4 linked regions of the Caenorhabditis elegans genome follow. The protein of the gene in region 1 interacts with the protein of each later gene in a pairwise test. Each region holds a gene or a part of one and is shown in the gene's direction. Other genes may lie near its edges.

Region 1 (6,324 bases):
AAAGTGCTCCTCTGCCGCTAAAAGTTTTGTGGGGGCCTAGAAAATAATGATGCGCTTTTATGAAATAAACTTTAATTACAGAATGTGAAGGAAATAAATGTAGAAAAAACAACTAACCAAATGATCGAGAGGGACCTGGGCTCCAGTATGTGAGTCCTGAACCCACTCCTCCACAAACTCCTTTTCCTTATTACCACTGTCCATCCTAGCACGTCATACTATGGCAAAATATGAAACTGAGCCTCACAAGGTCTCTGCCCATCGGCGATTTCCCCCTATTCAAAACCCATTTCTTCTCACTTTTCATGTTGTATTTGCCTCCCAAACAATTAGTTGTTGTAGCTGTCATTGAATGACCTGCGGGTGCCTGTGAGCACCGGTTTTCAGGCAGACAGGATTGTATTCTATTAGTGAGTAGACGAAAAGGAAGAAACAACGTCTGATTACGTAGGCAACGACCAAGCATCGATACATTATTCAAGGATCAGAAAATCAAGCTCAATTGTTTTGGAAATTTTTAAACATCACTTTTTGAAACTGTCTACCTCTTGGACTACACGTTGAGGTGCCAAAAATTAATTTCGGAAAAAAATCACAATAGCTAAAACCTAAATTTGGCTTTTTTTTCTCAGAAAGTTGATAAACATATTATGTGTGAAACTTCTTTCAAATATTATATTTGAATCAGGGATGGGCGGCAAACGATTTTTTCCGGCAAATTGCTAAATTGCCGGAATTGAAATTTTTGGCAAATCGGCAAACTAGCAAATTGCCGGAATTGAAAATTTTCAGCAAACCAGTCAACCGGCAATTTACCGATTTTCCGAATTTGTCGACAAAAAAACTTCCGAACGGCAATTGCCGCCCGCCCCTAATTTGAAAAGTTTTTGTATAATACGGTTCGACAGCCGTACACATTTTTTGTTGTGTAGCTCTCAAATACACGCTGTGATTTGAGAATCCATGCATCTGATCTTTTGCAGAGTCTTCCTATCGAAAAGAGCAAATTTCTCAGTACCCCTTGATCTTTTGTAGAACTGCTCATTCACAGCATCTAATCCCCCCACACGTCTTAACATAATTAGCATTCCTACATTAGCTACTACATGTGTTGATTATTTGTCTAACAAGATAGAGATAGTGTATACATACTTCCGCTCTCATAAAGACCGGTCATTTTCCGTGCTCATTCTCACTCTCGCAATGTTCTTCCCACACCCTTGATCCTAAGGAAACATGCTCCTCAAGAATAATCTCTTGAAAAGCGTGAGCGATTGTGGTAACAAAAAATCATGAGTATCAATGAAAACAATTCAACGGAATTTGGATTTGGGTGGGTGTGAAGGCGCTGTAAAAAAATGTAATATGAATTTAAGACCTCTATCTGCAAAAAGGTACAATGTAATTTTACAAAGTATTCAAGGTTTCCCTTGAAATAATTTTATAAAAACATTCGTACTAAATATCGAAAACTGCACCAAAACTATTTGCCGAGTGGATTTATCAGTTTCCCGCAATATTGGCAAGACTATCAGGTTATATGATATGATATTAGTATGAGTGCACCTCCACAAGAGTAAAGATGCAATGACTAAGATCAAAAAATTCCATTCCGCTTTGAGCACAAAAAAGATTCAGCGCTGGTAAACTAGTTCTCACCAAGTTTAGAACATCAAACAATTGACGCAATTTGTAGGTCATAGACTGGCAGGTTTTTGATGTTTTACATGACAAGTTTGAGAATAATGAAAGCAATCTTCATACATTTTAATAACTTTTTAAAGAGTTTTTAACTGATATCTTCCTAGAGCAACAAAAACAGCTTATATTTGCAAACATAACCATTTAAAGTTGAAAATGATACTTTTGCCATTGGGTTTTGAATTTGTCAAAATCTTGTTATTAATTTATTTTACTCATGTAGTTTCTAGAAAACATGTCATTCGTCCTGAAACCCCATGGAGCATACGTTATTGTCCTGTCAGAATGTTATTACGTAATATATTACTCATGACATTTACACCATATACAAAAATCTATTTATTTGCAAATATGTTCCATGATTATTTTCTGAGCAACAACAATTATATCATAGTCTAGACTTCACAGGGATAATTAATGTTGTTGGGAAGAAAAGTAAGAACTTTAGAAATGGTGATTGACCGAGTGAACTCTCAAATATCTATTTTTGTCTTTGTAATAACTCTATGAGTAATGAGGAATGAGGAACTGAATTTGTGACTGCAAATTAATCAGAAAGATTATTTAAAGAAGAAAGATATTTTGCTGTAGTTTGTGATGGCTGCTGAAAGACCACCGGAAGACTTTTGACATCGACCAAGTCCTGAAAGATCACGTCCCTCCAGTTCTTCAACTGTAACCCTTGTGAATACTAGAAAGTAAAAAACAAAAAAATAACAACATGTCAACATAACAACACGCCCTCCCCCTCTTGCTCTGCTCTTCCAAACACATGAGCACACACACACACAGGCACACGCAAAAAATTTGGAGACGCATCACTCGAAGAAACCGGAATTTGGGACAGAGGTGGTAGTAGAGGAGAGGGGGCGATGTTTAACTGATTGCAACGGGAAGATATATAAGCAAGAGCATGTATTGGGACAATCATCACTCACTCTGACAAGCTTGAAATGAACACCAAATTTTCAATTCTCTTTTCGCTTTTGGCGGTTTCAGCACTTGCGGTGGCTGCTGAGGAGAATGTGGTATGTATTATTTTTATGAATCTAATTATAAATATTTCATTTGTTCCCCTTTTCTAACTCTTATATTATAAATACTTATTTTTTAATTTTAAAACATTTCGTGCTCACTCACAAGCAATTGCATAACTTGAATATGAATTAAGTAAAATATAGGAACTTCTTAATATATGTTTCAAATAGTTTATCGTTTGACTTCATTATTTTACTACTGAAAATTTAGCAACAGGGGAGTATTTTGAGCTGCAAAAAAGTCGTTCTGAAAAGTTTTCAATGAATTTTTCACAACTTTCGAACTATCGAGGGCAGTAAAAATGTGCCAAGTGTGAATTTTTGCTGACTTTCAAGAGCTTCTAGCATGTTTAGGAGCTGGCTAACAATCGTAAATTTTTTTGGAATTTTTAATTTTTTGAAAAAATCTGAAATTTTTTCACTCAAGGGGTTTTTCTGATTTTCAATTTTACGGGCTTCTAAAGTAATAAAAAAAATACACTAATAGCAACTTCAGATCGAAATTTTTCTAGTTCTAAGTTCTCCTCTGCCGCTTAATTTTTTTTGCAAGGGCCTATTTAGAAGGTTTTTTGCAAATGAGATATTATCCAGAAGACTAAAAAATTAAGTTGAAAAATTAAGTCGTTCCTTTTTCAGTTCCTCCGCGCTCGTCGCCAATCTTCATGTGGATGCGCCATTCCAGCTGCTCCACAATGCAACTGCCAACCAGCTCAAACCAACACCGCCCAACAATCTTGCTCCTGCGCTCAAGCTCAACAGCCATCAAGCTGCGGATGCGCTCAACAGTATCAGCAACAACAGTGTGCACCAACTTGTCAGAGCTCCTGTGAACAGAGCTGTGTTGCCCAGCAACAGGTTAGTCAAACCAAATTCAACCCAGTTAGCCATTTCATATTATTTAAGCCAATCGCCCAGTGCCAATCATCTTGCTCTTCCACTTGCCAGTCCGCATGCGCTCAGCCAGTTCAGCTTCAGCAGCCAGCTCAGCAACAGTGCCAACAAGATTGTCAAGCTGCTTGCCCACAACAACAACAACCACAGCAACAGTGCCAGCAGCAATGCCAGACGACATGTCAATCCGATGATCAGTACTCTCAACAATTGATCCAACAGCAAACCTACGCTCAGCCAGGACAAATCCCAGCCTACACCGGAAGATCCGAGTACAATACTGCCCCACCACAACAGCAACAAGCCAGTCAATGCAATACCTGCCAAAACTCGTGCCTTAACACATGCCAGCAGCAACAGCAGCCAGTGCAACAGTGCCAATCATCATGTGATCAATCGTGCCAGCCACAATGTGCCACGCCATCTGGCTCCGCTTACAACCAAGTCAACTACCAGCCACAGGCCCAGAACAACTACCAAACCAACAACAACTACCAACAGCCAGGAGCCATTCCATCATACCAAGGAGCTTCCCAGACTGCTGCACCAACCTACCAGCCATACAGAGACACCAATGTTCAGGTAACATATTAATAGTATTACTTCTAAATCTAGATTTAAAGAAATCCAACCTAAATTTGTAGGTCGGAGGAACCATCTCCCAGTGCAACACTTGCCAAACCCAGTGCAACCAGGAATGCCAAGTCCAGCAGACCCCAGTGAACCAGTGCGCTCCACAATGCGACGCTCAATGCCAGCCAGCCTGCTCCCCAGCTGCTCCAGCAGCTCCAGTTCAAACGCAACAACAAATTCAGCTTACCATCAATGTTCCAGTTGCTCGTCAGTCCCCACAGTGTCAGCCACAATGTGAGCAAAGCTGCAACACCCAATGCATTCAGCAACAGCAACCAATCTCGCAGTGTCAGCCAGCTTGTCAGCAGAGTTGTTCGGCTTCCTGCAGAAAGTAAATTAACTTTAATTATTAATTTTTGGGAAAAAATAACTTTGTGATGGTTTTTTGTGTATATTTTGATAAATAAATTGTTTTCTACATATGTTCATCTCCTGCATCATACATCTTCACTAAATATTTTATCATTATTATTCCCTCTTGGGATGATAATTACAGAGAAATTTCTAGAATAGAAAAATTTATGAATCATTCAGTCATGTAAATTTTAGCTTTCAATCTCTATAATCTGCGGAACATCTATCTTCTTTTTTTTCTTTTCCACTCAATTTCTGAAACTGAAGTTTTACCACAAAAGCTAAACCCACCAATTACGTGTTATATTTGAAAAGCGGTAAGAAACTTAAAATAATGAACGGTCATCAAGGGTGTTACCTGCGTCAATAAGGGTTTTCGGTGTTTAATTCCAGTCTTTTGGGAATATTAGTTGTTATAGATTTTGACACAAAAAACCTCCACGCAATAATAATTAAACATTTCGTACATAAATCCTGCGTGTGAAACTTTTTGAAAAATTTTATTAGACAAAATGTTTTATTCATATCATATCTCAATTTAAATATCTCGAAAATCGTCGTTGGTTTCCACATCGAGGCCTCTGACACTGTTCATGGTCCTTGAACAGCATTTTTATATTGCATGTGAAATGAACAGCCGTCTGAGATTTTAGAAGTGATATTTTCCACACGATTCTTAAAGGTAGAGTAGCGTCAGTGGGGAGAGTGTTAAAAACTACTCATTTTATAGCAAAATGACCAAATACCATAATAAAACTTTTCAAAAATTTTTAAAGAATTTTTTGTTTACTGTCAAAAAGTGGCAATTACTCAGTTTTTTCATTTGCCACTCATAGTTTTGAAAGTCGACCAAAATTTGTTTCCTACATTCTTTATACTGTAATTTTGTCTTGGTTATTCGTCTTGAAACATTATAGAACGTCGGAAGATGCGACATTGCCTTAGATTTCCTCAAAATCTTTTTTTTTTTTGAATAGGGAAATTTGCCAAAACTTTGACCGGAAATTATGAAAATCTAAAATTTGTTGAGTGTTTTATTATGATATTCGGTGGTTTTGGGTTATTATAACTGTAGACAAAATTCCCACTGGTGCTATTCCACTTTTAACTTACCGTGTCCACATCCAATGCGAACGCGTGAACCTTAATTCCAGCTGATAAATCTCCTTGATATGATATATCGGGTAGAATGTTTGGGAACACCGAACACCCATTCTCGTCGATTATTTGAATCTTTAAATGATACTCTACTATTGAGTTGTTATCGACCTGCTCTTACCTTCCTTGTTCCTATTTCTTCCTCCCCGCTGTCTGAAATCGTGCAATTATTGACCATCACACAGAACAAGTAGTTTTTGTGATCGCCACTATAATTACAATTCCACGAGTGATAAATTTCATCTCCAATGTTCACTTTTGATGTCACAATTCGTCCAAGTTTGTCTGATCCATGATGTACACTGTACTTGCATTCTGGTTCAGGAAACCTACAACGATGGTTCAAAAAGAAATAAATTGAATGTTTTATGTTTTTCCTGATTTCAAAGACGATATCAATCCCTCCGCAATTGCCATACGGCAATTTTTTTGTCGACAATTTCGGCGAATTCGGCAAATGTTTTGCCGATTTGCAAGAAATTTAGAATTCCAACAATTTGCCGGTTTGCCAATGTGCCGGAAATTTTTATTCTTGACAAATTGCCGATTC
Region 2 (6,357 bases), on another chromosome or scaffold:
AAATTTACAATTTAGACCCGAAAGATTTTAAAGATCTTCTCACCTGGGATTGAAAGGTCGAATAACGAAGCCCAAGACAACACCGAGCACGACAGATTCGATGGTAAGCACAAGAAGAAGATCCTTCTTCATGCCCATCTTGTCTGTGTTGTTCTTGACAACTCGACTGCCGACTCGCTTCGTTCAACTAACGAGAAGAGAGGGATTATGCAAACTATTCTAGTGCCGTCTGAAATTTGCATTCGGCTGACGCAGTTGACATTGAAATGTGGAAAATAAAATTGTCGAAAAACTACAATATTTTATTCTTCAACCGGGTGCTAATAAATACAATTTAAAGCTGACTTATATGTGTACCCATAGATTGATAACCAGTAAAATTAAACAACGATTCGAAAGCTAATCCTGTTTTTTGTTTGAATAACGACGTTTGGAGATCCAGTAGAGAATTGCTGGGATTGCAGTCAATGGAAAAGCGATGGCTCCGAATCCGAGGAAGTGTGTGCAATTGACTCCTTCCACTTTTCTCATGGCAGTTTCGGCGAAGAAATGAGCTTAAGTTTAAAATTTTGAATTAGTTCCGTTGTTTTCAAAACATACTGTATCCTCTCTTATCATACGAGACTGTAGAGGTTCGCGCACGTTTGCCAGTCTCGGAATCAGTATAGTTCACGGTAACATCGTGATCTTCGATGGCTTGAGGAACACGAGGAATGACAACAATGTGATGGTAGATGGTGGAATTCGCAGGAATGACGGGAAAACTTGCTGTTGCAGATCCTTTCAAAATCTCGAATCGGTCAGTTGGGAAAGATTTGAGATCAGACAGCTCGACCTGAAATAATCGACAATTTCTAACCAAAATTCGCGTTATCCGAAAGAAAGAAACTAATTTTTAAAGAAAATCTTTGCGACTTTTTGAAACATACCTTGAGAGCTGGAGAAAGGCCAATGTTGATAATCTGATATTCAAATGCGTTTTCTCTTTGTGCAACCGGATACTTGGTCACGAAGGATTTGCCGATAAGAATTTTCTGTAATTATACGATTTTAGCCAGATTTATAAATTTTATTTGATAAAGTTACCGCAGAAGCATCAGCAGCTGCAAGAGCAGAGAGAATCAGGAAAACCAGTTGCATGCTAGGCGCTTCACTGACAATAATGATTTGATAAATCTGTAGGAAGTTCTCTCAATAAACGCCTTGTTGGCAAATTAAGCTGGAAATACGTGGAAAACCGAGAAGAAACAAAAGACTGTACTACAAACGGAGGATGCAGAGAAAAGTGTATTTGAACTGCCTCGCAAAATGGCAATCGTGCCGAGACCCATCACTAAATTCAAACGAGCGTGCCTGCGAATCAAACTGGCCCGTTGCCAAAAAACGCCTCTTTCGAATTTCGCGCGTTCGGATTTACGTTCGTTTTCAGTTTTCCGGTTCAATTTATCCGTTTTACAACTAGTTTCCTCCAAAATAGTTAAACTTGATATCATGAAGCAAGCAGCGGTTAAATTATTTTTTCGTCATCTTTTACATAAACCGTTTTTAAAATTATAAACAAAAATAAACATTTTCAGGTAATTATTAAATGCAGATAACCTCGGCCTTAACCCAGAATAAGATGGATCCGATCAATGGTAATTTGACTTCCACCGCTCCGGTCGAGCCACTCTCATTGACAGCCGCTGAACGTGAGTCATGTCGCACTTAATAAGTGCTTACACACCTTTTCTTTCAATTCTTTCAATCCCGAATATTGCATTAAATTGATTTTATTTCAGAAGTCGGTGGAGCGTTCTGCCATCAGTTCTATATCACCGTCTCTGAGAACCGTAAAGCGATTACCAAGTTCTATGGACATGAATCGAAGTTCTATTTGGATGATCAGGTGGTCACTGGATCGCAGGTTGGCAACAAATATAAATTGACAAAAATACATTTCGTTAATATATTTTTAGGAGATTGTTAAGTTGTACAATCATCTACCAGAAACCACCCACTTCAAGATTCAATCTATCAAGGTAAACACGACGTTCTTCGATTTTCCTACAAATATATTTTTAAGGGATACCCAACCCCACACAAACAGGGAGTGATTATCAATGTTATCGGAACCGTTAACCTCCGTCCATTCCTTCAATCATTTTTGCTTGGGCAACAAGGGCAGAAAAAATACTATGTCGAATCAGACGCTTTTCAGTACATTGATAAGTTTTTCGTCGCGAATACGGAAAAGGAGAAGACTACTTCGTCGACTGGTCATAACGGACACGCCAGTGGAGCAAATGGAAAGGATTCCAAATCTTCCAAAACCGAGCAACCTAAGGAACAATCAAAGCCGGCTCCTCCAAAGCAGCAAACGCCAAAGAAAGCTGAAGATCGTATAGTGAAGCAAGACACTCCGAAATCTGTGGAAAAGGAGGTAGCGAAAACACCGCAGAAACCACAGCTTGCCCAACAGCCCCCACAGCAGAGAGCCCCAGTTCCTGAGCCTGTTCAAGAACAGCCAAAGGTTCAGAAAACGTGGGCTAATCTTGTGGGTGGAGGTGGAAAGTCTCAGCCCCCACAACAACAAAGTTATGGACAAGGACAGCGTGAGTTGAAAAAACGAAAGATGATCGGGCTAGTCTCAGATTATTTATTTTTCAGAAATCCATCAGCAAACACAAATGCACCACATGCAGCCTTCCATGCATCAGCAACAACAAGGATCGCATGCTCCTCTTTATCAGCAACAGAGACAGTCGCACCCAGCTAATGAATTGCGCCAAGCTCAGGAAAGTTCAGATGCCAACCTAAATGAGCGTAAGATCTATTTGGGAGGAATCACTCGAGAGATTGTCCCCAGCAACACAGCTCAGGCTGAATCGGAAATCAAGCAGGTGTTCTACAGTAAGCAAATTAATAGTCCCAATAGTTCACTAAATTTTCATTTTAAGAATATGGAGAAATCGAGGAGGTTCGCATGCCGCGCAAGGTTCTTGACAGTCCGAACGACACATCGAAACATGCCTTTGCATTTATTACCATGCGTAACAAGGCCGGAGTAAAAGCCATTTTCGAAGCGGCTACAAAGGATGAGCAAGGCGTGTGGAAGCTTCCACTCAAACTGGATGCATTCGGATTTGACGGACATGCTCAAATTAGTGAGCAACGTGATCAACCACAAGGCGGCGGATTCCGAGGAGGACGTGGAGGTTTCCAACCACGCGGTGGACAATTCTTCCGCCGTGGCGGTTCGGGTGGTGCTCCACGAGGTGGTATGCGCAGCGGTTTCCAAAATGCGGGACAAAATTAGAAGCTTTCCGTTCTCCTTTTTCCTTCTTGTAAGAATTGCACATCCATTAGATTCTGTACCTATCCTTCTCATTTTCCTATTTATTGTTTCTCCTTTCCTTCCTCACCGTTCTAATAATGATGATTTAAGTAAGAAGATTCTGGTATCTGAATTTTATGGCGTGTAGCGTTTTAGTAGATCTCTCAACAATCCAATCCAATCAGCCCGCATCCCATTTTCACATCCTATCTCCCCGGTTTTCGGTGATTGACGACCGTGATCCCATCTGAGTTTACTCTTTTCGAGTACAAGTTGCAATCAGACATCATCCCACCACCGAATATCCAAGTTGTATTTGAATGTTGTTTTAATATATTACCACTTTCCTTCTCCTTTTACAAGCCCCCGTTATTGTTTCCTTCATTGGTGTTCGGGAGTACTCTTTGTACTCAAGTTCTTACCCCCATTTTGGCACGTTGGAATTAAAATAAAGTTTTGTATCTAAATTATTCAAGTTTCTCAATTTGTTTTTTTTATATGTAGTGTGTCAAGTAACAGTGTATTGTACTTATTGTTGTGAGATTGTGTTTCTAACATTTCTAATGGATACAGCAAGACATGGATGATGACTACAATGTACTGCATTCTGGGTTTGCCGACGATGATGGGCAACTTGAATATCCGTAAGATCTTTATGTTGAGAAGCAGAAGTAGTTTTACATTCGCTGAATTTTAAGAGATGATGAGGATCAGCTAGCTGTAGTTCCGAATGGAGACTCTGAAAATCAAAGAATCAATGAAGTTAGGAATGCTCTCGAAGAAGTTGGATATGGTAAAAGAAAAAGACGCTTGAATGAAGTAGAAGACGTATTTGATCAATATGGAAGACGTTCACATCCAATGGGTCAGTCAAAAAGAAGGTTTTCCAATTAAATTATATATTTAGATTGGCATATGAGAATGGAAACAGTTTCCAGTGAAGTATTACAAAAGTCACAAGTAAATGCTGTTAAGAGAAGAGCCCTCGAAAGCTTGGAACAGAAAATCAACGAAGCAGCTGCTCAAGCTGAAAGAAAAATGAATGAAAATCATCATTCTAATGCTTTTGACGATTTTCAAAGCGGAGAGCAGACAATTTCTTCACTTTGTGAGCTAGAAATGGAACGGAGATATAGAAGACGACAGGTTATTACTTTTCCTTGAAAGATTATATTTTTATCATTGAATTCAGGAAATCATGCGAAATCCGGTAACTGATGGTTCACCTTGGATTGGTATCAGTGATGTCGTCAACGGGCAACGATTTTATATTCGAACTTTCCGTGATGATCGTCTTTCTGTTCCGTTAGTAGAATCGATTACCCAACAAGCAACCCGTTCGAGGGTCGGTTTTCGAGCTTTTCAGTCGATTTGTCAGGAATCCGAACGTCTTAGGTAATAGTTTCACTAGAAAATTGAATACTTTTATAGTTTTCAGCAAGTTGAAAGAAGAATCTCGCGTTAAAGAACAGGAAGCCGAGTTTTCACGCATGCTTAAAGAAACTGAAACACCGTCTGAATATGAAAATAATAAATCTCATCCAGAATCATCATTATGGGTGAACAAGTACGAAGCCAAAAATTTCTCAGATTTGCTCTCGGACAGTGTAAGGAATTACATTATTTTAAAAAAAGAAGTCACGATATTGCAGACTGTCAATCGAAATATTCTTACATGGCTGAAAATGTGGGACGAGTGTGTGTTCCATCAAAAAGTCGACGATTTACTAGCAAGCCTCGGTGAAAAAGAACGAGAAGTACTACACATGGATAATGGCAAAATTCGGCGTCCATCATCGAAAATGTTGCTTCTTTCTGGCCCGGCTGGTCTCGGTAAAAGTACACTAGCACGAATTGTCGCTCGTCAAGCAGGCTATTCAACAATTGATGTAAATGCAAGTGATGCTCGAACAGTCGCAGATTTAAATAAAGTACTAGAAGGAGCTGTAAAAACATCTCGAACACTTGATGCAGATCAACGGCCAGCATGCCTGATTCTTGATGAAATTGATGGAACACCAATTGATACTATTCGTCATTTGGTTCGGTGTATTCAAGCAACAGGCAAAAAAGCCATTCGGCGACCCATTATTGGAATTTGCAATAATTTGTAAGTTATTTTATGGCTTCAGTGACACAGAAAGAAAATATATAATAGGATATCGGGAACAGTTGCAAAAACATTTTCAACCAAAAACCAATTTTCTCCAAAAAACCGAAAAAAAAAACACTTTTGATTTTTCCATCATACCTACATTTTTGAAAGATAATCTTTTGTTTTTTAGTCCAAAAATCCATTTTTGCAAGAAACACCAACTAAAAACGACAGTCCTAATCGGGAACAAAGATGTCAGCGAAAATTTTGACGATTTTTTTCACTGAAAATCTAAAAATCGAAAAACGACAATTTTTCGAAGAAAAAAAATCAGTGAACCATAAAATTATTTTTTTTTTTTGAAATCAAATTCTGTTTTTGTTGATAAAAACACAAGAAAACATGAATAAAAATAAAATAGAATAAAAATGATCAAACTTTCAAGATATTTTTCGAAAAATCGAAAGAAATCAAAAACTAAAATTCTTGGTTTCAGATTTTGGTAAAAATCGGAACACAAACCCCCTTTATCGGGATAACTCAATGTATTCGTAAGATGTGTTTGATTTTCTAATTATTTGTTTTTAAAGGTATACGCCAGCATTGCGTGATTTACGAGGAGTCGCCTGGTGTGTGCAACTAGTCGCAACAAAACAAGATGTTTTAGCAAAACGACTGGAAGAAATTTGTGACCGAGAACGTCTTCGATGTGATTTGAGTACTTTGAGAAAGTTATGCGAATTGTGTGCAAATGATATGAGACATTCAATTAATACTCTTCAATGGGTAGCGGTGGCAGCACGAAAATCGAATCGAGCAATTGGAATGAAGTTGATCCATGAGGTATGACGCTGTATATTTTTTGATATTAATAGAAATCTGTTTTTTAGGTTATTGAGAAAGAGAAAGGCGGATCTGCTTCTATTTTCGAACATTGGTCGTCAAT
Region 3 (5,491 bases), on another chromosome or scaffold:
TTTTACTATGGGATAGAAAAAAAACATTCCGTACTTGATGAAAATTCTTCCACAGGGAGTTTTATACTAGCAATCTTAATGATGATTGTAGTTTCGGAAACTGCATAACTGGTGATTTTTTTTAGCTAATGAACTTATACATAGTGGGATAAGACAACTTTATTTAAAATATTAATGTTTTGGAACATGGATCAAAAATTAAGGCAAGTGGTACCGTTGCAAACTGAGCTTCAAATATAAAATTTGACATAATAGAATAAACATTATTTAGGATTATTTTTGATATATGTTCAGTGTATCGAAAATAAAATTTCCCCAGAGCCACTTGCTCCTTGTGCCGGTTAGTTGGCTGAAACTGAGAATCCCAATTCTAAAGTTCAAAATGTTCATTTTATCTATCTTCTTCTTCTGGCAAAATACATTTTCAGACGTTCTCTGTGCATACTCATGGAGAAGACATTTGCGGATTCTTTTCAGAACAAAAAATAAGAAGAGCAACAAAAAAGTAAAAGACGAATGGGACGATCAATGGAAAGAAAGAAGGAAAAGGAGAACTCGTAAAAAACGGGACGGGAAACCATCGGACACATAAAACACAGAGAAAAGGCGATGCTGAGAAGAGTTTTCGTGGAAGAAGAAAAAAGAAGACGAAGAAGAAAGAGAGCAACGGACAAAAACGGACGAATGCCCCGGAAATAATACACGAGTGCTCTGCGCCGGATGTCGACCGCTCGTTATTATGAATGCGTTTTTTCGCATCGTTGATGACATACCAACAGAGCAAAATAGGTGGACATGGGTTAAGAAAAGAGATGTACAGTTCATTAGGTTTTAATTGTTACGAAAGGGCATACATTTTCTGAAGCGACCTACAATACTAGAATTTTGAGCGTATAAAAGTCACAAAAGTCACTTAATCTCGCCTCGAACCGGCATGGTCACCTTCAATGTGAACCTTTATAGGTTTTTTGCGCATTCTGAAGGCTATAATACTGATTTCAAAAATATATGCACGTTATCATTTGTAAAAGATCGATTATTGAAACTCTCACCAAATCCATCTGCCTAGTAAGTGCAATTCATATATTTTCGAGTTTTGAGAATGCAGCTGGATTTTCATTTTGAGAGCACAAAATCCTAGGAAAGCGAATGAATGTTTGATCTCAGTATTTTTTGATTATTTTCTGTTGAGAGGTGTATTTGAAAGGGTTTAATGTTGTGCAATGTTTTTATAGCAGTTTATTTGTTTTTTAATGCCAATATTTGCTTTGTCTTCTGTAATTTATAAAACATCTATAAAAAATTGCTGATCCAGTTAAAAAGATCTTCATTATTCCTAAAACTGGGAAAAGTAAGGTACCGAAAATCTCTGATTCTTGATCTTCATTTCTAACTAGAAACCTCAAGATAGTCACCGATAAATATTCAAGTGAATTACGTTTTCTTCTTTTTTATCTAGGAATTCCCTCCGCTCAGCTATTTTAACCCTAACAGGCCACCTTACGTTTTTCTTCTTTTAATTTTCTTCGCAGGAAAACTCATTTGGATGCGAACGAGCTTCTATTTTTTCTGGGTTTGTCTTGTGATTGGCCAGGCACCGGAGCATAACTGACGAGATGTCGGTTCCAGAAAATAAGCGGAGAAAAGGAAAAAAAACGAAGAAAAGAATAGAAAAAAGGAAAGTTTGGTGAAGTGGCAAACGGGAAGAGTCCGTCAATTGTTGTCGAGAGGCGACCACATCCTTCTACTCTTCGTTTTCGAATTTTTGGAGCTTTTCGAATTGTGACAATGAAGGAATATGGATGGTGAAGAGCACAAGGGTGACCAAATATTTTATTGAAACGGAAAAAAATGGACAATGAATTTGGAATGTGGAAAAATTGGGCAATTGTTGAAGTTGTCACATGGGTTTTGATATTTGGAAGTGAAAGATCCTCTTCGTAGATTGCTAGACGTTAATCCGAAACCGACATTAAAGATGAAGCAGCCAGCCTGGAAATGATATTTCCATGAAGTAAAAGAAAGAAAATGAGAATATCTAATAAATAAAACACAAAGATCTATCGTTGTTTTTTATTCGGAATATCATGAAAAGATAAATCTAAACTTCAAATATAAATCAACCTTTGATTCTCAAATTGTCGGCAATATGGCTAACGTTGTCTGACCATGTATTGAAAATATGTAGTTCTTCGTCAACTCATGATAGAATGTTCGTCAAAACCAACAGAATAACATGTGAAAAGTGGGATGTAAATAAATTTAGTGACTCATCTAAGAAACTATCAGCAATAGCCGTTAGCGACTAGTGATATATGTCATAGCGTGCTAGTATTCTATTGACAGAATCGCATGAGTCATATTCACATTTGTAGAAGTATTTTATCAGAAACCTTCAGTTCCAACCGCTTTAAAATTCCCTGCCCAAATTGGTCGCGGAAAGAAATTTTGTTTTAAATGAAGAATGCTTCTTTTTTTGACTAATCGCATAACTAATTTTGGTAGAAATTATTTAAAAAGAGTACTTAATTTTATCATCAACTTTCCAGTTTCCAATTAATATAGTCTTGACATTTAATATTACTAACGCCCCCGAATGAATCTCTTTCACCCTACTCGTCACTTTTCTATCTCCACTGATTACCCTTATCACTGGACGTTTTCTTCTACTTAAACGAGCCGCCATCCATCACCGAATCATTAGATTTTCATTCTCTCAACCTTTTCGTTGGCACTTTTCTTCAAGTCAATATTATTTTCTGTTTTTTGTTTCAGAACCATGCTCAAGCTTGCTTTCGTTACTTTCCTTTTTGCTTTGGCTTCTGCTAGACCACAAGATGTCGACTCTAATAGAGTTGTAGCTCTTCCACAGGACAACTTCGAAGTGACTGATATTGGTTTCGAGAAGATCAAGGCCGAGCCAGCTCCGGAAGTTGTGAACAATGATGCTTCATATGCCTACGCAGTTGATATTTCTGTTCCAACAACAGTTTCTCAAATGAACTGCCTCAAGACATCCAGATATGCAGCTGTTTTCATCAGAGGTTTCACTCCATTTGGATCTGGAGCATTCGACACAACTTCAGTCACTTCTATCAGAAATGCTTATTCTGCTGGATTGGGAATTGAGGTCTACATGACTCCACAACCACTTTCTTCTCTTCAAGGATACCAACAACTTGATGCTCTTTATAACGGACTTAACGGAAATGGAATCACCATCAGATCTGTCTGGATTCAGGTTAGCTATATACAAGAAATATAAAAAACCTTGAACAATTAAAAGTTAAATTAGTTAAAATGTCATATGTGAAAAACTGGAAACAATGTACACTTAAACATTAAAATCTTCTTTCCGGAGATTATTTTTCAATTTTCAACTGATAAGAAATTTAATTCTCGACGATTATAGTCTATACACTTGAACTCTTTCAGGTTACCTCCCCAGCCAACTGGCAGAAGTCTGCAACTACTAATGTGAACTTCCTCAACAGCATTATTTCACGAGCCAAGCAATACGGACTGACTGTCGGAATCTACACCAACCAATACGACTGGAGCCAAATTACTGGAAACTGGGCAACTTTGAGCTCTGATGTTCTTCTCTGGTATTGGCATGTTCTTGGAGGTGGTGTTACTGGAGAGACTCCAGCTACTTTCGATGACTTCCGTGCATTCGGATCTTTCAAGAAGGCTTCTGTTAAGCAATTTGCTCAAGTTGAGTCTGTCTGCTCTTTGACCGTCAATCGTGATGTTTACGTTGTTGGAATCCCAGCTGCTGCTTCATCGAAAAACACTGATTTTTTCACTCAAGAGGACATCAGCAGCAACAACAAAAAGATTGTTGTTGGAGGAGTCATTGGAGTCTAAAATATTTATGTTGTGATCTCTTACCTATTTGTATTATTTCAATAAACAATCCTAGCTTTATTAAAATTTTATTTTAAAAAATACTGAAATATACCATATAACATACCAGATATATACCAGAAATTAAAATGAATGATCAGTAAAATTTTAATTGTGTCTTTTCGCATGACGATTTCACTTTATTTCTGAAGATTTTTGTGGAAATCGTTTCTATAAATATAATTTTGAAAAGTAAACATTTAAAAAGTTAAAATAGCCGTGGCATAAATGCTAATTGGCAGTGATTTCCTGTCCCTCACTAGGGAACGGTCAGAAGGTGCCCATCGGACTTGCATATGAGACCTATGCCATTCGATAGCCCATGTCTTAAAACAGTTACTCGTGAATTTTTAGCGGCAAAACTCCCGAACCAAGCTCACGGCGGGCTCTCAAAGATCTTAAAATAGCACTGTAAGGAAGAACTTTAACGATCTAACGAAGCAATTTTCCAATTTCACTTTGGTAGCTCATATCTCCGTAGATAAATTTTTTACAGAAAAGTCATCAACTGATAAGTTGTTGATTTTGTTGTAACAAACAAGTTTGTAATTAAAAGTTTTTTACCACAAAATTTTTGTTTGAGATAAAAGTGCGTGAAGTGCGGCAACTGGTGTTGTTATTTTTATGCTGCTATTCCGTTTCTAATGATTTTCTCGCAAACAAAAATTTTTTGGTAAAAAACTTTCAACTACAAACTTGTTCTTTACAACAATATCAACAACTTTTTAGTTGATGACTTTTCTGTAAAAAATTTATCTACGGAGATATGAGCTACCAAAGTGAAATTCGAAAATTGCTTCGTTAGATCGTTAAAGTTCTTCCTTACAGTGCTATTTTAAGATCTTTGAGAGCCCGCCGTGAGCTTGGTTCTGGAGTTTTGCCGCTAAAAATTCACGAGCAACCGTTTTAAGACATGCACTATCGAATGGCATTGGTCTCATATGCAAGTCCGATGGGCAGCTTCTGACGGTTCCCTAGTCAGCCGTGACTCCAGTTTATCTGAGAGGGTATAGGATAGAATATATTCAATATTACCCGCGTGGAAGGCTTGTTGAACTCAACGTAATTTGAAAAAAAGAAATCATTTGTTCAAAATAATTAAATCTGAAAATTAACATACGAAGATGTTTTTGCACTTTTTAAGTTGCATTGACACCTAACGATAATATGCATTTAATCGCTTTTTACGCATTAATATCAATGTGTTTAACTTTCGTGACTTTTAGACTTTTTCTCTCCTTCAAGAAAATTCTTCTGCCGGCAAAATGATAACAGATGATAACAATTTTATTTGGGAAGAGATCATAAAACCGATAATAAGTTTAATAAATTAGTTTCCGACAAATCCTCCGACAACAATCTTTTCACCATCTGCCATATTGACTTCAGTCTTTGGAGCAGCAGCTGGAATTCCAACAGCATACACGTCACGATTCACAACCAAATTACAAACTGTTTCAACTTGAGCATACTGCTTCACTGAAGCCTTCTTGAATGGGCCGAAAGCACGGAAATCAGCAAAAGTTGGCTTTGTCTCTCCAGAAGTACCACCTCCAAGAACATTCCAATACCAGAGCATGAC
Region 4 (5,512 bases), on another chromosome or scaffold:
GCACGATCCGGTGAGATTTTCGCGTACTATAAAGAGGTGATTATTTTTTTAATAATAGTTTTCATGATGCTTACGTGTTGTATACTCATCATTGATTTTGCACTCAGTTTCCTGGTTTAAGCAAAAGTTGCAAGAACCTGATGATCGGAGTCCACACTGATTGTATACGATTCGTCGTGCCTGAAACCAAACACTTGTTTTCAAAATTCTGAATTTTCATCTCACTGGATCGTCATGATTGGCACACGTGAGATCCGCTTTCCAGGCCACTCCCTCTGAGAAGAAGACATGTTCGTCCATTTGGAGCAGAATCCATTGTGTAAGTCTATCATGAATTTTCGTTGTCGGATTTTTGAACCCGATGAATAACGCTGCTAAAATGAGGGCCTGGGGAGAAGCTCGATGAACGTCTTCGAGATCCAAATTGAGTAAACTATATGGCCAAATGTTCTGACTGAAAACCAATTAAAATTTTTAGAGCCATCAAACTAAGATACTTACTTTCCATTTTTATGTACTTTGATTCCGTCGAAGCTACTCTCGAAGTGCATCCACATTTCATTATCTGCCATTTCGCTGAGTAGCTTTTTTTTAAAGATACCCTTATTTATTGGACTGGAGCTATTATATCCTTCCAAAATAGTTGTTTTAGTCTTCATCATGATATTCGCAAAACTATTCAATATAACTTCGAGCCATTTCTTGAGATCTCCGAAAATTAGTTGGCATTTCTCTTGCATATCTTCACATTTGCATCTGTAATGATATATTTCAGAAATTTAGTTTTATAATAAACCTACAGTTCGATATTCTGCGCACATAAATTACATACTTCTACAAGTGTTAGATGAGAGTCATTCAGTAGCAATTTTCTGAGAATGCTATCTTGTGAAACATTGTGAAAATGTAGATATCTCAAAATGGCTGCTTTCGAGTTGGTAGTAGTGATGAGGAAAAAAGTTGTTCTCAGATTTTGATCGCTCAGAGAACGACACAGTTGACTTCGCTCGTCGCATAGAGAAGAATCGCGTTGAGTGTCCAAATAAAATGACTCATCGGTTTCAGCTTCTTGATCGATCTCGTAATTTCCCACTTCATCGACCGGATAACGAATTTCCCCGTCTTCATCAATGAATCCTGTTGTTTCTTCGTCTTCGAGTTCATCTTCTACACCATCTTCCTTTTGTCGTTCTTCATCTGCAGTTGTTTCCGTCTCGAAGTTATCGGCCTGGGTGCTTGAATTTGATGGACCATTGCTTCCCGGCTGGTGAGAACCATGATTATTGTCCGTCGGGTCTGAAAGTAGTTATTTAGTCCCAATAAAATCATTTAAAAAATTTACCTAGAGCAACTATTGTCACGCTTTGAATCAGAAGACTCCGGGGTGCTGAATTCAAAATTCTTCGAACTGTTGTTCTTGGATTTCTGGCCATAATCCTCCGTTTCTAGCCGGGAATGATACAAATCTTTGAAAAACACACTGGAATTAACAATTAACACATATTGATAACATATCACACAAAAAATACAATAAAAAAGGTCAAAAAAATGAAATATGTGAAATACGACGAAGAAAAAACAAAATAAAATCAATAATCAATGTTCTGCTAGTTAGCAGTGGGTTTCTGCTAATTAGCAGTGCTTTTTAGCTAATTAGCAATGACCTGCTAATTAGCAGTGGTTCTCTGCTGATAAACTATGGCTTTACTAGCTTTTGCTGATTAGAAGTGATTTTCTGTCGCTCTGCCGTGACTCCAGTTTATCTGAGTTTAAAAAAACATTTTTAAAAATTGTCTAATTTTGAAACGTTATTTTGAAAAACTTGATATTTTGGTAATTAATGATGAATTCGCGATTTTATCAGTAAATGCGTAAATATACGGCAAAAAAATAATCTAAAAACTGTGAAAAGCTCGGCAAAAAGTAGGGTTGATTCCAAAAGAAAACATTTTTTTTCCGAAAGAAATTAAAACATTTTTTGCCAAAAACACGAAAAAGCTTTGTGTAATTTTAAAAATTGTGTAATTTTGAAACGTTATTTTGAAAAACTTAATATTTTGGAAAATTGTACACCTTCTCATAATTTTTTAAAAGTTGAATTTTAGTGATTTTCAGCAAAAAAAAAACGGAAAAATTGTATTTTTTGCCAAAAAAACCAGAAAACACAGAATACACAAACTAAAAAATGTATGTGCGATTTTCAAAAACTGAAAACATGCCAGAAAAACAAAAATAGCCAAAAAATCCATTTTTACCCAATAAAAATTCCCATTACCTGACCCAAAAAATAATCCATTAAAATTTCAGGTCGGAATCCGCAGAAAGCGTCTGAAAGGTGACGCGTTCATGTACAAGAAGGTGTGCGAGAAGATTCTTCAAATGGCGAAAATCGAATAATTCCTATTATAAATATTCTTGTTTTCCTTTTTCTTAAATTTTCCCCCTAATTTTCGCCCAAATTCTCGTCTTCCTGGGTTTTTGTGTGTGTGTGTAGAATATCAATCCCGTTATCATTATTCTTATTATTATTATTCTTATTTTCTATTGTTCCAAGTTGTTTTCGAAACTGTTTTTTTCGAATTTTTCCCAATCGTGTAATATTTTTTGAATATTCCTCTCTCCTCTCTACTAATCCCTCGAATTTAAGTTTTTGTTTCGTATGCTCTTCTTATCCAATGATACCCCGCCTTTTTTTGGTATGAATGATCAAGATCTCTTTCAAAAGTTGTTTTCCCGCCAGCCACAAATAATCCTTTCCCCCCCCCCCCCAAAAAAAAACACGTGCTTTCTCCACTACACTAGTGAGGTTGCGCAAGTGTTCAGCGCCAAAAACTCTAACTCGTATTTGCTCTAGCCGTCTTACTCTCACAGTGACTCCACCCATTTTGCCGCTGATCTCACGAAAAACAAGTGGCCGAGTATAAAAAGCGAGAGCGGATGCAGTTATTTTGTCATATTGAGTCGCTACTGATGGCTCACGGACATCATCATCACCACCGCCGCGAGCGCCCGGGGCGCGAAGTTTATTTCAAACTTACTGCTAAAGATTCGAAACAGGCTCATCTATTCTCTATCAAGTATGAGAAGGTCGCCGGATTGCTCGAGAAGCTCAAGAAGAAGCTCGCCGAGTTCAAGGTCGACTTTGCCAACATTTTCTGGATCGATCGGGAGAAGGATCAGATTTTCCTGCAGACAGCCGAGGATCTGAAGGAGGCGATCAAGTTCTCGAGGTTTGTGGTGAAGCTGTACGCTGAGGGAACTGGTGAGAAGGATCTGAAGGGTCTGAAGAAGGATCTGAAGAGCGAAGACGATGAGGATGATCGTCGCAGCAGCAGCTCCTCATTCTCGAAGGTGTCTCATGGAAGATCGGAATCCGAGTCGTCTTCGTCAGGATCGGAAAGCAGCGATGACGAAAATGATCGCAAGAAGAAAGGTGAGCGTTCTGGAAGTTCCTCTTCTTCTTCTGGATCTTCCCGATCTCCATCTCGTGGAAGACGTGGAGGACGTGGTGGCCGCTCAGGATCCAGCTCGTCATCATCATCTTCTGAATCACGATCTCCCGGAAGACATGAGGAGCCCGAGAAGCAAGGAAAGAAAGAAGAGTTGAAGCAGCTGAAGAAGCAAAAGTCCGAAGGTGTTGAGCATCGTGGAAGATCGGGGTCACCGGGAGGACGTCGTGGACACGGTGGACGCCATGGATCCCGTTCTGGATCTCCAGGAGGTCGTCATGGTCATGGAGGCCACGGAGGACATGGATCACGCTCCGGATCTCCAGGTGGTCGTCATGGTCACGGAGGCTCAGGGCATCATCGTGGAGGTCGTCATGGAGGCCACGGAAGGCATGGATCGTGCTCCGGATCTCCACGAGGTCGTCATGGTCATGGAGGCCACGGAGGACATGGATCACGCTCCGGATCTCCAGGTGGTCGTCATGGTCACGGAGGCTCAGGGCATCATCGTGGAGGTCGTCATGGAGGCCACGGAAGGCATGGATCCCGCTCCGGATCTCCAGGAGGTCGTCATGGTCACGGAGGACGCCACGGCCCACCACATTGTCCAGGACGCCATGGAAGACATGGATCCCGTTCCCACTCTCCTAGAGGACACGGGCACGGAGGACGTCACGGGCCACCACACTGCCCAGGGCGTCATGGACACCACGGACCACCACACCATCATCACCATGATGGACGTTCTCCATCTCGTCACGGCCACCACCACCATCATCATCATGGATGCCGTCCATTCCCACCGCATCATGGACATCATCACTTTCCACCATTCTGGCCACCATGCCCACCACCACCACCATTCTGGCCTCCACATCGTCGTGGCGGTCACTGCCATCACCATCATCATAATGGACATCGTTCGTTCTCCCCATAAACTCTTAATTCTGATGCTTATTATACTGTGCATAATGTATATTTATTTGTGATCAATAAAGTTGTAAATAAATAAATAAAAAAATCGTGTTATGTTTTTTGTTTTTTTTTCAGATTTTCAGGTGAAATAAAAAAAAGAGAACATTGATTCTTCCAGGAAGGCAATTGCCTAGGCAACTGAACAAACATGAGTTCCTTTCCGTCTGTTTTTTTCCAATTTCCACCAGACTCCTAGGCTTCCCCAAAAGGCCAACTGATCGCTTCCAAAAGGCGAAGACATCTCGACCACTTTCTGTTGATCGACGAACAATTTGAGAGAGAGAGAGAGAGAGAGAGAGGAATTGACACAATGAGTGTGTAGTTTGCTTTTGTTTGAGACACGCAGAGTTTGTAGTATTCGGTGTGGTTTATGCTTTAGAGGTTGCAAAATATGAAATCGGAGTAATGGAAAATTGAAATATGACGAATTGACTAAAGTGAAGTTGGATGTTGGTTGCTATTTATTAGTAACAAATTTCGATATGAAGATGTTAATTTAGTGGCAGTGTTATATAAATTTCAGTCTACTTCGTAGGTTCAAAATTGTTTGCATGTGTACCTAGCAGACAAACATCGGTCAAACGTACTTGTAATAATGCTGTAATACTGGTGTTCCAAGGCTTTTTTCGACAGAAAAAATGTTTTCTGAAAATGTTCGAAACCATTAAAAAATTGAAAAAGGACACTTTTTAGTGTTCGGAAATCAATTTTGAGTCTTCTAACAACAAAATTAACCATTTTAGAGGAGTTTCAAAATTGTGAATTTTAACAACATAAATAGCCCAATTTTGGTACCTTTTAATAGTTTTTGATGGGTTAAACCAAGATTTTCTGAATTCAGCATACCTGAATTACCAGTTTTCAACAAATTTAGACAACTTTTTATTTATTTTTTCCTTTTTTTTTTCAGCCATCCTTTTTTTTGGTCAAAAATTGTTTTTCTGAAACTCTTCGAAACCAATATTCTGAAAAAGAACAATTTTTAGTGTTGTTGAGTGAATTTTTAGGGAATTTTGTAGAAAAAAACTGAAAAAAACTTTTAAACAAATTTGACCGTGGTAGAGTTGAACTGTAATTTGGATGCTAAC

Evidence for each region.
Region 2: the proteins of abu-11 (region 1) and gtbp-1 interact in a two-hybrid assay, tested with the Caenorhabditis elegans proteins (one large-scale study listed by BioGRID).
Region 3: the proteins of abu-11 (region 1) and lys-1 interact in a two-hybrid assay, tested with the Caenorhabditis elegans proteins (one large-scale study listed by BioGRID).
Region 4: the proteins of abu-11 (region 1) and W03G1.5 interact in a two-hybrid assay, tested with the Caenorhabditis elegans proteins (one large-scale study listed by BioGRID).

What each region holds. Positions count from the first base shown.
Region 1 is NC_003280.10:190,865-197,188, reverse strand, and holds abu-11 (Activated in Blocked Unfolded protein response), read left to right. Parts: upstream 1-2,630; 5' UTR 2,631-2,654; coding exon 2,655-2,729; intron 2,730-3,374; coding exon 3,375-3,593; intron 3,594-3,641; coding exon 3,642-4,211; intron 4,212-4,273; coding exon 4,274-4,597; 3' UTR 4,598-4,680; downstream 4,681-6,324. Other genes in the region: chs-2 (chitin synthase), read right to left, coding at 118-204; T01D1.8 (ZP domain-containing protein), read right to left, coding at 5,150-5,257, 5,730-5,849, 5,896-6,103.
Region 2 is NC_003282.8:10,124,177-10,130,533, reverse strand, and holds gtbp-1 (Ras GTPase-activating protein-binding protein gtbp-1), read left to right. Parts: upstream 1-1,577; 5' UTR 1,578-1,588; coding exon 1,589-1,691; intron 1,692-1,781; coding exon 1,782-1,906; intron 1,907-1,958; coding exon 1,959-2,021; intron 2,022-2,065; coding exon 2,066-2,594; intron 2,595-2,649; coding exon 2,650-2,892; intron 2,893-2,939; coding exon 2,940-3,298; 3' UTR 3,299-3,785; downstream 3,786-6,357. Other genes in the region: Putative sodium-dependent excitatory amino acid transporter glt-3, read right to left, coding at 44-138; K08F4.3 (Translocon-associated protein subunit beta), read right to left, coding at 400-554, 601-835, 930-1,034, 1,087-1,140; ctf-18 (AAA+ ATPase domain-containing protein), read left to right, coding at 3,896-3,960, 4,015-4,181, 4,224-4,462, 4,509-4,711, 4,755-4,923, 4,969-5,426, 6,002-6,254, 6,302-6,357.
Region 3 is NC_003283.11:10,275,129-10,280,619, forward strand, and holds lys-1 (Lysozyme-like protein 1), read left to right. Parts: upstream 1-2,775; 5' UTR 2,776-2,779; coding exon 2,780-3,241; intron 3,242-3,435; coding exon 3,436-3,870; 3' UTR 3,871-3,928; downstream 3,929-5,491. Other genes in the region: Y22F5A.11 (uncharacterized protein), read right to left, coding at 274-370, 421-449; lys-2 (Lysozyme-like protein 2), read right to left, coding at 5,240-5,491.
Region 4 is NC_003282.8:503,943-509,454, reverse strand, and holds W03G1.5 (PB1 domain-containing protein), read left to right. Parts: upstream 1-2,970; coding exon 2,971-4,386; downstream 4,387-5,512. Other genes in the region: pig-1 (Maternal embryonic leucine zipper kinase), read left to right, coding at 2,308-2,397.